3 linked regions of the Schizosaccharomyces pombe genome follow. Each later gene encodes a partner of the first gene's protein in a complex. Each region holds a gene or a part of one and is shown on either strand. Other genes may lie near its edges.

What was found.
Region 2: mrp7 (region 1) and mrpl44 share a complex: the UniProt entries of both Schizosaccharomyces pombe proteins name them as parts of the mitochondrial large ribosomal subunit.
Region 3: mrp7 (region 1) and mrp20 share a complex: the UniProt entries of both Schizosaccharomyces pombe proteins name them as parts of the mitochondrial large ribosomal subunit.

What each region holds. Positions count from the first base shown.
Region 1 is NC_003423.3:2,860,998-2,864,760, reverse strand, and holds mrp7 (mitochondrial 54S ribosomal protein bL27m), read left to right. Parts: upstream 1-2,000; 5' UTR 2,001-2,136; coding exon 2,137-2,598; 3' UTR 2,599-3,282; downstream 3,283-3,763. Other genes in the region: Lid2 complex histone demethylase subunit Lid2, read right to left, coding at 1-946; morphogenesis protein Mor2, read left to right, coding at 3,521-3,763. UniProt on the Schizosaccharomyces pombe protein: Component of the mitochondrial ribosome (mitoribosome), a dedicated translation machinery responsible for the synthesis of mitochondrial genome-encoded proteins, including at least some of the essential transmembrane subunits of the mitochondrial respiratory chain.
Region 2 is NC_003423.3:4,124,069-4,126,758, forward strand, and holds mrpl44 (mitochondrial 54S ribosomal protein mL53), read left to right. Parts: upstream 1-1,814; coding exon 1,815-2,004; intron 2,005-2,077; coding exon 2,078-2,190; downstream 2,191-2,690. Other genes in the region: F-box protein Pof12, read right to left, coding at 105-1,280, 1,367-1,513; cnp3 (centromere protein), read right to left, coding at 2,302-2,420, 2,501-2,690. UniProt on the Schizosaccharomyces pombe protein: Component of the mitochondrial ribosome (mitoribosome), a dedicated translation machinery responsible for the synthesis of mitochondrial genome-encoded proteins, including at least some of the essential transmembrane subunits of the mitochondrial respiratory chain.
Region 3 is NC_003424.3:400,952-404,431, forward strand, and holds mrp20 (mitochondrial 54S ribosomal protein uL23m), read left to right. Parts: upstream 1-1,934; 5' UTR 1,935-2,108; coding exon 2,109-2,594; 3' UTR 2,595-2,861; downstream 2,862-3,480. Other genes in the region: ATP-dependent RNA helicase Dbp10, read right to left, coding at 1-920, 1,021-1,243; AP-2 adaptor complex subunit Apm4, read right to left, coding at 2,862-3,480. UniProt on the Schizosaccharomyces pombe protein: Component of the mitochondrial ribosome (mitoribosome), a dedicated translation machinery responsible for the synthesis of mitochondrial genome-encoded proteins, including at least some of the essential transmembrane subunits of the mitochondrial respiratory chain.

The sequences.
Region 1 (3,763 bases):
TGCAAGCGTCGCAATACCAATCCTCTTTAGGAATCGACGTTAAAGGGGGATCTAAACAGGAAGTATGATATGCCGCTTCACACCCATCACAAAGTAAAATGGTTTCCGGATTCTTGTCCAAGCCACAATACTCACATTGCTCTCCTCTTTCAATAAGAGGTCGTTTCAAACTCGTAGAGCCGTTGACCTGGATGGTTTGAACAGGAGATTGAGCAGAAGTTTCGGGTATAGGGGATTCTTGCTGAGCTGAACTACGAGTGTTTCTAATTTTCCGAGTTGAGCTCTCTGATCTTTTTGATTTGAATGATGGCGATGAATCCCTTTCAAATGGTTTGATGTATCGATCATAGCAACGAGTGAGAACCTGCCTCACTTCTTTAGTATCTTCAAGACGCAAATAGATTATGACTTTATGTAAAATTTCATTATTTAATGAAGAGCCGGAATTAGTAAACTTTGAGATTGCATTACGCAAACGCAAAAAATCAACTGGGCGATTCCCGATAATCGGTGGGTGATAAAAATATAAACCGCGACTTTCATGAAATGCTTTAAGTTTCTTAAAATAATCATAATTTTTTTCATAATTGAGACAACCTTTATTTAAACATTGGCGTTTTGACTGAAACTCAAAAGCGCCTTGATCAAGAACAACAGGTATTTGCCATCCCTCAGGTGGCAGAAGCTTAATTGCTCCATTTTTGAAAATTGTATGCCAATTATCTAACAAAAATTTAAAGGGATCAGTCATGTTCGAAGCATTCAACTGCACTGACAGTCCAGTTGAAAGTCCAAATGGCCTATTTGACGCGCGATAATTTTTGTCATTATGGTCACAATCAAATTTCAGATATGGTAATGAAAAGTTATCTCCTAGCTTTCTTATTTTCTTCTCTCTTCCTGATCCCATAGAATTATGTTCGTGCCACAAAAGCTGGCATATCATGGAAAACGGAAAAGTGCATAATCAATATACATGGAGAAATATTTAGAAATGCAACACCACCCTGTTTTAAAAATATATACCAAAAAATTTTACAACTTTTAAAAAATATTCTAATAAATTACATAAAATAAAAAACGCGTACATTGATGTATTTATCGTCGATAACACACCGTTATGGGATCGACACGACAGTATTAGGTGGAAGTAGTAGCTTAAAGCTTCAGATCGACATTAACGTAGGTACAGCTAAGCAAAACGTACTTTAATTAGTACTCCCTGTCGTGCTATGGCTGGAAGATCCACGAGAAAAAGATTTTATGCCAATTTTAAAAGTTTTTAACCTAAGGAAGTTTCCGAGTATAATCAAATCCAGTTAAAGCTTGACAATATCCTGATACATTATCCTGCGAACTAAGGCAGCACATATACTGTATAACTTGAAGCATATCGCTGTCAAGGTAGAATTTATGGTTTCTTCACAAGAAAATGAAATTTGCTGGTTCCTGCCACCAACTAGTAACACGAAGCACATCCGTTTTTATTCATAAATTTTTGCTTTGAGGAACAAAACAGTTGAAATTGCATTAAGACATCAATTAGTAGCACAGAAAAATCTATTATATGTGATTCCAGCTGCATACTTTAAAAGTTCAAGTAAAATTGAATATCATTGAGTAATAAAGACAATACAATAAAGGCTAAAACTTTGAAAAAGTTATATTTCTTTCATGCAGTCATTAATGCTGTTTGAATTGAAGAGCCAAGTGAATTTTCCATGATTAAAAAGAAGGATAGAAATTGTCGACGTAAATTTAGTGTCTTTTACTTTTTTTTTCATTAGCGATCATGCTTCCAATATAAACAAAGTAAATTGTAGGTAATGGTACTCTTTTAGCGAGATATTAGGAGTAAGGAATTTCAAACAGAAAATGTAAGGCTACACTATTGTAAAATAAGAATATTTTATACGATTACCACGACTCGTAAATTGGGATAAAGGAAATGTAAGGTAGAAACTTTCGAAGATTGGTTACAACGAATCCATCCTTTTAGTATAAACCAATATTTCGACGAAGATATAATTTTTTTAATATTTAGTATCCTTCTACATTACTAATTATTTGCCAAATCAGTTTAACACATTTTTCTTTTACAATACGTACTTCATTTGATGCAAAGTTCACCGTGCAATGATCAATCAAGGGCTTTTTATTCGTGTTAACAATTTTCAATTACTTAAAGCTAGTTTAGCTTATAAGAAAGCATCAAATATTCTCACTTTCCCTCCTATTCGTACTTCTACTAAACATGGCGGTGGTTCATCGAAAAACACAGGTGATTCTGCTGGTCGTCGTCTCGGCATAAAAAGGTCTGAAAACCAATTCGTTAGGGCTGGTGAGATCCTAATTCGACAACGTGGTACAAAATTTCATCCCGGAGATAATACCGGTCTAGGTAAAGATCACACAATATATTCTCTTGTTTCCGGATATGTTAAGTTTTTTCAAATGGATGTGTCTCTTCGCAAACGGAGGAAATACGTCGGTGTTGTTTTTGACAAAGAGACAACGTTACCAAGGCCCAAAGATGAACCTACAATTCGCCGTGTCAATAAGTATATAACTTCTGCTAATTCTGCTCAAGTTTCATGAAACCATGCGGAAACTCTCATCATCATACCTGCAATGCTCACTATTTAGAGATACTTCAAAAGGATATACTAATAATTACATGCATCAATGCCTTTGGATTTCCTTCAACTTAAGGTTGCACGAAATAACATTTTCTTCTTTTTATTATTTATTTAAACTCCCGTCACGGTCATCGTAGTTTATTACTGTCTAATGCTCAAAAATGTGAATGCATGATTAAATTTATAACTTATTTTGTTACTTTGTCTTGGGCGTATACAAGTTTGCGTATATGTCTTTCTTTTTCTACTGATTTATGCTTCTATTTTTTTCCACGCGAATAATTTGATAATTAAGCATTGTATATGTTGTTCTTAAACTTTCAAGTTTTTTCAACAAATATTTATAATTCGTTTCCAAAAAGTTAGCGTGTAAAAATCGCATTTGCCACGGTTTAAAAATCATTAAAAAAAACTGAACTTGTACCATATTATCTTTTCTGACATAGAATTCAGAAAGTTTTGACCAAACATACAGAAGGTTATTCTTTTTTTACATTTCATTTAAAAATTATTTTGGGCATTTTGAAGTTAGACTTTTAAGTATATCACCTACTATATAGTACCACACCTACTACAACGCAGTGCGTTATATTCCTTTATGTGCAAAAATTGTTGCAGTGTGCTGAGAGGTTTTATTGTTCGGAGTGCTAGCCATTACAAACTTCTAGTTTTGAATCCATTCACGCCTAAATTTTAACAATCGATTGCTAGTCAATTTGCTTACGCATGCTTAAATATAAAAACTAACGAGATAGCTTTTTTATACACTTTTTTCTTCACTTTTCTGTAGGCTAGCGGTATTGCTCTCAAACCCTTACTTTGCATACTCCTTTTCTTTGAAGTTCGTCTATTTAGTAGATAACCATATAATGCCAACCTGAATGAGCTTGAATGAAATTGCTCACGATCAACCTGTCGAAAATGGTCCTTTGTATTCTGAGAAGCAGGACCATACGGCAGTTGATTACGCGCTTCACATACTTTTCACCCAGTTTGTTCGACTCTCTGAACAAAAAATATCATTTCTTTCTCGTTATCATGCCAACGAAGGTAAGAATGCTGAACCTGTACGATTCAACGTTGGAGAGCAAGAAGCTATCCTCCTTCTTAAAAAGGGGGAAGAT
Region 2 (2,690 bases), 1.3 Mb from region 1:
AATAATCCAATCTAAGTAATAATAATAATATAAATAAAATTATAAAACTATGGTTAAACTCATCATTTAGAATTCAATCATGTACGATAAAGTGAAACCTTTCTCTAAATATTAAAGAGAAACTTTAATATTCTGCCGTCGGAAAGGGTTATCAAAATAGTATCTTCATACAGTCCTATATCTTGAACCTTACATTCTTTTTCGTAATCAGATACGGGCTTATTGTGGATGTTTGTGCAAGTTAGCATTAGCGGAGATACGATTGATTGATAATTTGTATCATGAAGATCCCAAACACAAATATCGGCACAGTTTTTGGATACAGAAACAATTCTTCCACAAGAAAATAGTTTAGATATCTGAACACCACAAACGTGTCCTAAGAGACGACCTAAAAATTTTATCCGTAATTCGTTGTTAGTTGAATAAAGCCTCTGCAAAATTAAAGAATTGTCCGGATGAGATGTCAAAATATAGGACCCATACATAAAAATAGCAGAAGCAGGTTGCTGAGAGTACTCAATGTCTTTGTTGTCATGCAATGCAAGCCTACTACTTTTGACGCAATATTCGTTGAAAACAAATTCTTGCAAACTAACGGTCCATCCACCAGATAGAACATAATCATTAAAAACTACATGAACAACTTCATATCCTTCTTTTGATTGCTGAAAGTGAATAGCAACCTGTTTTTCAATACTTGAAACATGATATTTACCAAGTACTTTCAATTTGGTTCCAGCTTGATGAGAATGCTGAAGTATATATAAATTGTTGTCGTTTGTCAATCCACAAATGTAATTTTTATGCGATGATAATGCCACAAATTTGGTAGAGAATGTTGCAAGGTTTTCAATATTTCCGAAACCTGTCTCATGCACCGTTACATGTAGCAGGTTACCATCCTTTAAACCAATATAAAGGCTGGCGTTATCCAGACACATTACAGCCGGACCAGATTTGACAGTTTCATCTCTAAAAGAAGAAATAGCCTGGCATTTCAAACTGTTACCAACTGAGCTCCATTTTGATATTTGAACGTCATTACAAAAATAAATATTATTTTGGTGTGTAAGCGTTAGCCCCAAACGATCTTCTCCAACGCTTTTTTCAGAATTAAGCAATTGAGGGAGCATAGACTCTACTTTTTTACAACGTCCGTCCTTCCAGTTAGATTGCCTTCGAAACAATCCTTTCCAATTCCTTCGTTTTTTTTCAATGCGACCATGTCGTCGTAAATGCTTAGTCCCAAATTCTGAGAGATATAAATTATGCCATACCTGTATGAAGGTCGTTAGTACATGGAAATCAGTCTCTCAAAACATGAAAATTCGACTATATCACTAAAAAGTCAAGAAGAACATACCGATGAACGGCGCACAATTGAATTCCAACTACGAGATACACGTTCTAAAGCAGCTAAGTCATGTGCAGACAAATCATTAAGAACGTGAAGGAGGGTTTCATGGCTGAAAATCGACGCAGGGTTTTTAGCCTTCACATCGGTAGTCATGTTGGATAAAATCAAAATTGCAATTGTTCATGAAAAAATATTTCACAAGCGGAAACCGAGGTTCTATATAAAATTGGAATGACAAATTGTATTATAGAGACATACTAGTTTCGTTTGTATCTCCAAGTTGACTTAGTTGTTGTAGGAAGTGAGACTATCAGGGTAACGGTCACCTAGCTTACCAAATGTCATTTCGTTTACAAAACTTACCACCATTTAATGTATTTAAAATATCTACACATAAAGATCTCTTTTAATTACATTCCTTGACGACTTTACTCTCCAGTTAAAATTTTTAATCATGATATTTGGGTACATTAATAAATTGTCAATTTTGAATGTGAACCCGTTTTCCAAAGCTAGTCAATCTGCGAAACTTTTGCTAGCAGTTGCCAGTAAAGAAACCAGCAACTCTCTTTATGGACTTAATCTCATTACCAGTCTTGCATCAAAGGATACCAATTCAAAACCATCTGTTGAAGTTGTATACAGTAAGGCTTTTAAGTAGCTAGATGGTTTAACTGCGACCGTTAGATTTGACTTTTGCTAATAATTATTATTTAGAGGATGGAAAAAAGTTGACTGTTGATCCGACAAAAATGAATATTGGTAGGCTAACTGAATTAATTGACGATTACAGTAAAACGCTTAAATTTAAGGAAATGATGCAAAAATAAGTTTAGAAAAAATGACTTTATTAATATGATTAAATTGATAACAGATAATTAAATTACATAACGACTAAATGACTTTTGTACATCGAAATCCATAACACACTATTAGTATTGTCATCGTTCGTTTGGAAAATCCCCTATTCCCCTTCTTTTATTTTCCAAGGTGTCGGTCGCATGGGTATAATAAAGTCGAACAGCTTCTTTGCCGATATTTTTTATGCTGTAATAATTCCCTAAAGCAATGTTAGTCAAAACACATTCTCGGTGTATAATTCCTGTTTGAATTTTTAGAAATGTGTATATTTAAACTTACCCCTTGGAACAATAAATACTCCATCTTTTTTCATTCGAAAAGTGGTTGCATTTACTGTGACCTCGATCTTTCCCTGTAGTATACAAAAAGACATTATGTTGTGTTTCGAAGGCTTCACTGGTTTTTCTGCTCCTGCTGGCATTTCAACGACGCCAGCAGCAAAAGATGGCTCCTCCTTGAACAAGCTGGC
Region 3 (3,480 bases), on another chromosome or scaffold:
GTCCAAAGACCCGTAAATTTTTGAAACCGAATATCCTGCTTGAACAAGTAACTCAGAAACATACTCGACATGATGTTTTGTAGGAACAAATACTAGAGTAGAATCTGGTGATCCAGATTCACTTCCTTTAAGCGCTAATTCTAATGCACGTTTTCTTTTCTTCGGATTATTGACATTTCCTATTTCTCTTGGGCGCACGTTATCTTTTAGAGGAAGCTTAATGATATCTTGTAGTATACATAAGAGAGCAGCTTCGCGTTCAGCGGTTTTAACAGAAAAAAAGGCACTTTGTAGATCCGCGGAAACCTTGGATTCTACATCAAGGCGTACAAGAACCGGGTCTTGAAGTCCAGCCTTTGCAAAATCAACAAGAGTACGTGGAAGTGTGGCAGAGAAGAGAAGAGTTTGACGAGAAGTCGGCAAAGCATGTAAAATCTCTGTCAATTGAGCAGCAAAACCCATTTCAAAAAGTCTATCGGCCTCATCGAAAACGACATACTCGATTGAACTCAACTCCAATTTCATTTCCACCTTTAAATGTAGAAATCTTCCAGGAGTTGCGACCACAATATCGGGTTTTCCGGATAGCAAACTAAATTGCTCCTCTAGACTGACGCCACCGACGATAGCGACAGATCGAAGATCCGTACCTTTAGAAAAGTCTTTGACGACTTTCACAGTCTGAAGAGCAAGTTCTCGATTTGGCGAGAGAATTAAGGCGCGAGTATTAGAGTTTGCTAGAGTGGACTTCAAATGCTCAATCATAGGTATAACAAAAGCTGCAGTTTTACCTGATCCAGTACGTGCCATACCTACAACATCACGACCTTCCAATAAAAGGGGAATCGTTTTGCGCTGAATCGGCGTAGGAGCTTTAAAACCCTTCTTAAATATTGCTCGAAGTAAAGTTTGATTCAATCCTATAATTAAGTTAGAAAAATATCAAAGTAATTTAGATTACAGTGTCTTGAAGCATAATGCAAAGTGACCTTATGGCAAGTAATCACGAAGTTAACATACCCATCGATTGGAAATTAGAAGCCTTTCCATTCCCCTTTTTTCCCTTCGTCCTCCTGTTAGACTCCAAAAGCTTCGAGGCAATATAATTACCATCATCTTCATCGCTCACATTTTCACCAACATTTTCGTGCTTATCTTTTTGATTATCAGTAGCAATATCAACAGGAAAAGCTTTTAAAGAATTTGATATATCGACCTCGTCGGACGTCTGGAATCCGGACATTTAAGACGAGTGAGCTGCACTTTTGTTGATTTTTTAGTTCTCTAGTGTCGCTGGCAAGAAAATTTACCGTATGAATAACAACTATCAAAAGGGCCTTCTTAAGTTTGATTTAACATTCTCATTTCAATTGTTCTGCTGCGTTTCTTTATATTAAAAATAAGTAATCCAACGTATTTTAATAAACTATAACGAACTTGAAATAAGCTGCTTTATATGTCAGCAATACTACACTACGCTACGATATACTACGTTGTGTATCACTATATGTCACATGTTCATAATGTTCTATTTGCTCTATCAGCTTTACATGATAAGTTATCTAGAAGGATATAATATCATTTATGATAAGATGACTATCAGTTATAATCCTTGTTATTTCAAATGTTATAAATTGAGAACAACTGAATTTGATTCCTCAGTTCAGTTATAAGATATCTCAGCTATAGATAACGATATATCCTATATATTAGAATACCTATATCCAATTCCTACTTATACTACTTGCGTATTACAATATAATAGATCACAAGGAAAACTCACCGCAGTTCTACGTATCCTTAAATCAGATACCAAATTGCGTAGCTTACATATATTACGTTCTAGGATAATACAACCAGAGACGTTATTTGTTAATAGTATACAACTGAGCTTTGATGCAATAAAGCAACCGGATTCTCAGCACGTTAGTACTAAACAACATTTGAACTCCGTAATCCAACAAATGGTTAATAACTAATCGTTTACCTAAGGCCGTTGACATCAAATTCATCTTGAAATCTACTGTTGAGAAAAACCATTTGTTTCTCTTTTTTTGCATAACTAGCACAAGTTGCTTTAGCCTTGAAGTTGAAACTCAATAGTAAATATGAGTAAAATTGCTGGGAAAAGATTAGTGTACTTTCCAAATATAACGTTCACGTTATGCAGAGGACTAAATCTTCAACCTAAATTTGCAGTATTTCGCGTACCTCTTCATGTTAACAAGTTTGATGTTCGCGATTATTTGCAACATGTGTACAATTTAAAAGTCGTATCAGTTAAGTCAAGAATTTATCAGGGCAAACTTTTTAGAAATCAACTAGGACAGGTTAAGAGACCACAATCTGAAAAACGCGTCATCGTTGAGATGGAAGAACCTTTCGTTTACCCAAATGCCCCAAATGATTTGAAAGATTGGCAGGAGGGTGAATTACTTCCTGATGGTTCTAATGTGAAAACCCTGAGCAGGTATCCAAAGGTCCTTGAACAAGTTGACATGAAACGGGTGAACGAAGAGTTAAGTAAGTTACAAGATAAGCAGATACTCGAATCACAACAGAAAATCGCTAGACTTTTAAAGAAAAAGTATTAGTATTTTTTTCATTTCCCAGGTAATGTTTTATTTTGGTTTCCGTCTATTCATTAATGCCTACAAAAGCATAATTATAGCCTCAAATGCCTCATCGAAGCGGTATGGTGTTTAATTGCATTCATTATAACCTCTCTTCTTTCATCTATTAAACTTTCAACGCCACTTGTTTCATTTTGAAATGTTCTAAAACTATTTTGGAAATTCTTTTCATGTCGGAAAAGCACGGTCGTCAATTAATAAAATAATAATTTTGTATCACAATACTTCTTAAATGCGTATCTCGCAAGTTCCAGCCCTAGTTGAGTACCTTACCCATTTAATACTTTTGTATTTGCTATTAGAAGGTTCACTGACCCTTAAGTATTGCACATGTAGACCGGAGCTGGTAAACATAAGAATATTGAAATCTAAGGATATTGGAGGCTTCGCCCATATTTGCTGGTTAGTTGTATTAGATAACTCTACCTCAGCGTAAAAAATAAGTTCAGTTTCGCCTAAAAACCGGGGAATTTTCCAATTGATAATATTTTCAGAGGGCTCGTACCCTGCCTTTCCTCGATTTACACGAGGATTAGCTTTTACCACATTTGTGGGAACCGGTATCCGAAAGTTCAAAGAAGAAGAAAGTTTGTGTGGATAGTCTGCTCGTATACTGATACGATAAATAATTTTTTGTTTCGACAACTGTTCGACAATAGGAACAATTCTAAAAGGAATATTTATGTTTTCATGTGAACGATAACTCATTAATTCAACCTCACCATCCGGCGGAATGAAAGTAATTCTGTGTTCATTTTCAAATTCCGGCAATCTAACACATTGATGAAACTGGCAATCTTCTAAAATGACAAATCCTCCGTTAACTGAGGACGGATTTCTAGAGTTA